Danio rerio: one gene and its partner. The protein of the gene in region 2 interacts with the protein of the main gene of each other region in a biochemical or structural test. Links are inferred from orthologs where the notes say so. Each region holds a gene or a part of one and is shown on either strand. Other genes may lie near its edges. The genes, in order: fam20cb and fga.

Region 1 (3,831 bases), on a different chromosome or scaffold from region 2:
TCACATTTATAAATTATCATTACTACAGTAACTATCATAATCATCATCATCATCATCATTATTATCATTGCATTGCATTTATTTGTTTTATTTGAATTAAAGCATCAAATACATGTAATTCTAATATATATGATTAATTTATTCATAAGAATTTATATGAGGGCGACGCAGTGATGCAGTAGGTAGTGCTGTCGCCACACAGCAAGAAGGTCACTGGTTCGAGCCTCGGCTGGGTGAGTTGGCATTTCTGTGTGGAGTTTGCATGTTCTCCCTGCGTTCGCGTGGGTTTCCTCGGGGTGCTCCCCCACAGTCCAAAGACATGCGTTACAGGTCTATGAAATAAACTAAATTGGCCGTAGTTTTTGAGTGTGAATAAGTGTGTATGGGTGTTTCCCAGAGAATGGTTGCAGCTGAAAGAGCATACGCTGCGTAAAATGTGCTGGATAAGTTGGCGGTTCATTCCGCTGTGGCGACCCTCAGATTGATAAAGGGACTGAGCTGAAAAGAAAATGAATAAATACTAATAGTTATGATTGGCTGTCTGCATTGAAACAATGCCCTTTTAAGTGAGGATCCCCCAGTTTAGAACCACTGTTCTTATAACACTGTCTTGTTACATATGAAGACCAGCTTTTTTGACATTACTCCAGCATTTCTGGATCAAATGAACACAAGCCTGTAGGACACCATCTCTTTCTTTACTGTGTATCTTTAGTTATCCACATGGTCCATTGGTTGAGGAATGAGTTTTAGGAATTCACTGAATTCAGAAAAGTTGATCAACAAGAGCATCTCTTGCGGAACGTTTATGGTCTCTAGAGCTGCTGTGGAGCTTCAGAGGAGTACGCCTGTGCCCACTACCTCTGCGGGACTGTGCCTGTGTCCATGCCCTCTGTGCCCATGTCGTCCTCCACTACATTACTGTAGCCCTCCTTCTCAATGCAGTCGGCCAATACCTGTAGCACCAGACGCAACCGGCGGTCCATAGCCTCAAGATGAGGCCTGATGAGGATGGGTGACAGTGTGTCCGTCTGGAGACTTTCCTCCATCAGAGAGCTCAGTTTAAACTCTTCTTTAGCCACAAGCTGAAGCCGTAAATGAGTGGACTTCTTCACTCTGAGGCAAACAGATCACAATTAGTAACCAAAACAAAAGAGCTATTTACCCAAAGGACTAGTTCACCCCCTAAAATAAGTTAAAATAAATTTAACAAAAAAATTGCTCACTTTCATGTTGACCCCTCAAACCTTCATTCTTCTTGCTCTTTGTTAAAATTAAAATACTTTAGATGAAATCAGAGAGCATTCTGACTGTCCATATAACAGTTGAAGTCAGAATTATTAGCCCCACTGAATTGTTAGCCCCCCCTGTTTATTTTTTCCCCAATTTCTGTTTAATGGAGAGATTTTTTTCAACACATTTCTAAACATGATACTTTTAATAAATGATTGTAGTAACTGATTTATTTTATCTTTGCCATGATGACAGTAAATAATATTTGACTAGATATTTTTCAAGACACTTCTATACGGCTTAAAGTGACATTTAAAGGCTTAACTAGGTTAATCAGGTTAACTAGGCAGGTTAAGGTAATTAGGCAAGTTATTGTATAATGATGATTTGTTCTGTAGACTATCAAAAACAAAGATATAGCTTAACAGGGCTAATAATTTTGATCATCAAAGGTTTTTATAAAAATTAAAAAACTGTTTTTATTCTAGCCGAAATAAAACAAATAAGACTTTGCCCAGAAGAAAAAACCTTATCAGACATACTGTGAAAATGTCCTTGCTCTGTTAAACATCATTTGGGAAACATTTAAAAAAGAAAAACAATTAAAGGGGGGCTAATAATTTTGACTTCAACTGTATAGCAAGGGTCCAGAAAAGCAATCAAAAACTTTGTGGTTCAACTATAATCGTATGAAGCTCCAATAACACATTTGTGCAGCAAAAGACTGTAAACTCATTATTCACCAATGCTTCTTTGGCATTAGGTTAGGAAGTTTGATTAATATGGCCAATAAGATGCTTGCCTGTTGACCTGCGCTGCTCACTCTCAAATCGTTGTATTACCTAAATTAACAGGATGTGAACGGCACTGATAAACAAAGTTGTTGTTTGGTGCACAAATCTGTTCTTGGTTTAGGCCAACAGTTGAACCACCAAACTCACATGAATTGTTTTGACAATTTTTGATTTCTTTTCTAGACTTTGAAGTCTATGGCCTTAATGTCTATGGTGGATAAGAGAGCTCTCAGATCTAAAATATTATTTAATTTAATTGGCTTTCCCAATATGAACAAAGGTCTCAGGGGATTGTAAAGACCTGACCTGAGCCAAAGGTTTTAAGTATGTAAGTTTTGCCTAGAGGGCACATATTCAAAACAATGTGCTGTACAAGGAATAATGGAGTGGTAAGGATCAGTTCATTTCAGTAAAGTACAGTTTGTTATGGGTCACCGTGATCAAGACTCCTTTGATAGAATATGTACAAAAGAATGTTTTGATTGGCGAGGCAGTGGCGCAGTAGGTAGTGCTGTTGCCTCACAGCAAGAAGGTCGCTAGCTCGCTGGTTTGAACCTCGGCTCAGTCGGCGTTTCTGTGTGGAGTTTGCATGTTCTCCCTGCCTTCGCGTGGGTTTCCTCCGGTTTCCCCCACAGTCCAAAGACATGTGGTACAGGTGAATTGGGTAAGCTAAATTGTCCGTAGTAAATGAGTGTGTGTGAATGTGTGTGTGGATGTTTCCCAGAGATGGGTTGCGGCTGGAAGGGCATCCACTGCGTAAAAACTTGCTGGATAAGTTGGCGGTTCATTCTGTCGTGGTGACCCCGGATTAATAAAGGAACTAAGCCAACAAGAAAATGAATGAATGAATGTTGTGATCAACACCATTCCTGCTTAAAGAATAAAGCAATCTGCATTGTTCACATATTATGTCTTTAGTGAACTCAAGTTCATTATTTGCTATAAAATCACAGTCTGGTTTGGAAATCTGTCTGTTCAATTGAAAAATAAACTGGTTCATATATAAAAAAATAAATCATAGGAATAAAACAATACAAGCCCCAAACAGACTCTTTATGAATAAGCAGTCATGAGAAGAGCAATAAGTATTTTGCTAATTCCAAACACCCTCTTTTCAGTGAATTTCAGCTGTTACCATCAGGAAAAAGACTGAGAATGCCAATGTGTAAAACCAATAGATTAAAGCTTTCGTTTGTTCCTACCTCGATAAAACTGTTGAACTCTACCTAGAACAACGCACCAGTAGTATACACGTAGCACCTGACTGTGTTCTGTGCTTTAAACATTTCATATTTTTATATGCTCTTATTTTGTAAACAATGTGTGTTCTTAATTGTTTTGTGTGTTTTATTTATTTTAATAGAGCAACGTTGTATCACCTTTTTGCCCAAGACAAATTTCCTCTTGGGGACAAATAAAGTTTATCCTAAATATTATTGAGCCGAAAATAAACACAGAGAAAGCGAAAGCACTTGTGGGGTCCTCATGTTTTTAGGCATCCTCTTAAACAACAATAGAAGACACAGCAGATTTCAACAAGGTTTGTTTGATTTCAGGCCAAGCAAGACTAATTGCTGTGTGCTGTCATTGTCTTATTATGGTTAAAATGATTTCACCAAGTAGGACATGTTCTCGGAGCAACATCTAGAGAACAACATTTTAATTAGAATTAAGGTGCAAGTTTACAGTTTATGTTAGGTTTAAGCTTACAGTTAGGACTATGTACTTCCACATGATTGTTATACAACTATTATTCCTGTCTGAATTTGGGAATAATTTACTGTTAGGGTTGGGTTTAGGGGTA
Region 2 (3,254 bases):
GGTTATGATAACAGGTATATGTCTCTGGCCGAACAACTGAGGCAGAGGATTACTGATATCAAGATTAAAATTGACCGCCAACTTCGACTTCTGGACGCTCTGAAGTCGCAGGTCAAAGATCAAGTTGTTGTAATGCAGCGGCTTGAGGTGAGCAAAATATTTAAAGAAACATTTCACCATGAAGATGACAATTTACTTATTATTTATCCACCCGGGTTACGAGTTTCTTTCTTCTGTTGAACACAAACGATGAGACTTTGAAAAAAGCTGTAAACCTGAAACCATTCACATCTATATGAAAAACAAATACTATAGTCAATGGGTACAATTGTTTGTTTTTCATATGATAGATGTCAATGGTTTCAGGTATACAGCTTTCTTTAGTGTATCTTCTTTTGTGTTCAACAGTAGAAAGAAACTCAAACAGGTTTTGGTTGAACTATCATAAGTCTTAACCAAGTTTTAGCTAAAACGGAGTCTTGGTTTATGTGAAATTTGATCTCTACACTGATTTCTGGAAACAACGGCATCATTAAGTAAACTTTTCCAATATTATCTCCTACCACAGGTTGACATTGACATCAAACTACGCACATGCAAAGGCTCTTGTGCCAGCTACAGCGAGTTCTCGGTGGACAGGGAAAGCTATGTGACTTTGGACAAGCAAATGGACAATCTGAACGCCATGCGTGTACAGAGCGTGGAGACTGTCAGTTCCTTGGGAATCATGAAGAGCAGGCCGTTGAAGGATGTGTTGGTGCCCACCATTTATAAGAGCGGAACGGGCAAAGCTGAGCAGAAGCTGCTTTTTGGAGATGTAGGCCAGATGCAGCTCTCTCTGGAAGCTGAAGGCTCCACTGCCGAATCTGCCGCCACAGTTAGCAAGTTTCCCACATCAGGTACGGGCTCCACATCACAAACCTCCAGCAAGCAGTGCACCAAATCAGTTCGCAAAGTGATAACACACACCAAAGATGGCCCCGTGGAAAAGGTTGAAGTTTCGTCTAGCGGGCCCGGGTGTGATGATTTAGGAAAACTAGGAATTTCAGATTCAGAGTTTTTGACGGCAGCCAAAGATGGGAAAGATTTGAGTCGCGATGGCTTGAAAATAACAGTGACCGGCGGTGATGAAAAGTCCCTCACTTCTCTAAGCCACAGCACTTCTGATCTGGGTGGCTTCGGAGGAGACTTCTTTAAGAATCTTGGCACTGACAACCGAAAGTATGCCTCATCTTCATCCTCAACATCCACAAAGACAGTGTCAGATGGAAGCAAAAGTTACTCAAAGACCACCCTCACTAGCGACCCTATTTTTGGGGATGACCTCGGGGCGTTCATGCGGGGCGACGTGGAAGAAGATATGCCCGACATCCATGCACGCAGTGTGAAATCGCAAGACGATCGCAAGGCTGGCTTTGTTGGCGGAGGTACACTCGAGTGAAACTCTTAACACAAGTGAACCATTGATAAACATAATGATAACACTATTAACAAGAGTTTGTTGGAAACATGTGGACTAACTGATATCTAAGTAAATACCAATCCATCACATTTATTAATACTCACCAAGAAGCAATTGTTTGGATCTCTGGAATGAATTTGCAATGCAGTTTTGCTCTAATCGGCAGGTGTGTAATCTTCTTTCAGATTGCGTTGAAATCCAGCAGAAGCATGTGAACGGCGGTCAGAGCGGGATGTTCAAAATAAAACCAGCGGGGTCTGAGGAGGTAGTAGAGGTTTACTGTGACCAGAGCACTGGGTTGGGGGGATGGACTCTGGTTCAACAGCGGGAGGACGGGTCTGTTAACTTCAACCGCACTTGGAAGGAGTATCTAAATGGTTTCGGACAGATAGACAAGCAGGGTAAGGGCGAGATCTGGATTGGCAACAAATTCCTGCACCTTCTCACTCAGAAAGAAAGTCTTCTGAGGGTGGAGCTGCAGGACTGGACTGGAGCTGAGGCCTACGCTGAGTACAACATTAAAGTTGGCTCGGAGGCTGAAGGTTTCCCGCTGACTGCATCCGATTATGATGGGGATGCAGGAGATGCGTTAGTGAGAGGACATCCCAACCTTGGATCCTTCCTTTCACATGCTGGCATGAAGTTTAGCACCTTTGATAGGGACAGTGATAAGTGGGAGGAAAACTGTGCAGAGATGTATGGTGGAGGGTGGTGGTATAATAACTGCCAGTCAGCCAACCTCAATGGCATTTACTATAAAGGAGGCCAGTATGACCCGGCTACCAAAGTCCCCTATGAGATTGAGAATGGTGTCGTGTGGCTGCCTTTCAAACCAGCTGATTACTCCCTCAAAGTGGTGAGAATGAAGATCAGACCTGTCTGAAATGAAAACATAAAGAGGGGATTAGGGGAAAAAGGATGGATATCTGTTGTTTTGAATGAGCTGTATGATTAATATTCTGCTTGTGTTGAACGTAATACAATGATGATGCAACATACATTTTTACACAACCAGATTACCTCATGTTTCCAATAAAGATGTGTTCACTTTAAGTTCTGGAGTGTGTTTTTATTTAAAAAGGTCTGCTTTCAGAATCATTTTCTGGACGATCTACAGACAAGTTGTAACCACAAAAGCACAATGTGTTCAGATCATTTTGGTTTTCTTTAAGGGGATAGTTCACACAAAAAATTACAATTCTATCATCATTTACTCACCATTCATTTTTGAAAATCTTCTGTCGAACACAAAAAGAAGATTTTCTGAAGAGAGTTTTTATTATAGGAAATAGTATACATTTTTCATATGGAAGTCATTGGTTATTGGTGTTCAGCTTATTTTAGGTTCGACAAGAAAAAAAAACTCAGAAAGCCACTTGAGAGTGAATAGTGAGTATTTGGAGGGGGTGGTGAACTATCGCTTTAAGTTTTCAGTTGATAAAGCTCATTTTAGTCTTTCTCACAAAAATCCACCCCCTAAAATTGCACCATCAGGGGTTCAACAGCTTTTCACCAAAACCATCAATGCTTCATAATGAAACCTTAATAGTGCATAAAGGCCAAATATTTAAAACACTTTTTAGGGGTAGACACACTGAAAACAATGCAGGGTACCATACAATACAACTTATGTCGCCCAAACACAAATCCATTAAGTTAATGTAACTAATTTAAGTTGATTAAACAGAAAACAAGTAGGTTCCACCAAAATCTCCAAAATTTTGTTGTTTCAGCTCATTTTTAATTGGTAGTTTGAACAAGCAGCAAAAAAAAAAAAAAAAAAAAAAACAAT

What was found.
Region 1: of the proteins of fga (region 2) and fam20cb, one has a biochemical effect on the other in vitro, tested with the Homo sapiens proteins (2 studies listed by IntAct). The link is inferred for Danio rerio from reciprocal best matches to the Homo sapiens genes FGA and FAM20C.

The regions. Positions count from the first base shown.
Region 1 is NC_133187.1:19,965,443-19,969,273, reverse strand, and holds part of fam20cb (extracellular serine/threonine protein kinase FAM20C), read right to left. Parts: intron 1,117-3,831; coding exon 858-1,116; 3' UTR 1-857. UniProt on the Homo sapiens protein: Golgi serine/threonine protein kinase that phosphorylates secretory pathway proteins within Ser-x-Glu/pSer motifs and plays a key role in biomineralization of bones and teeth.
Region 2 is NC_133176.1:11,470,538-11,473,791, reverse strand, and holds the end of fga (fibrinogen alpha chain precursor), read left to right. Parts: intron 1-1; coding exon 2-147; intron 148-568; coding exon 569-1,427; intron 1,428-1,647; coding exon 1,648-2,345; 3' UTR 2,346-2,515; downstream 2,516-3,254. UniProt on the Homo sapiens protein: Cleaved by the protease thrombin to yield monomers which, together with fibrinogen beta (FGB) and fibrinogen gamma (FGG), polymerize to form an insoluble fibrin matrix. Fibrin has a major function in hemostasis as one of the primary components of blood clots.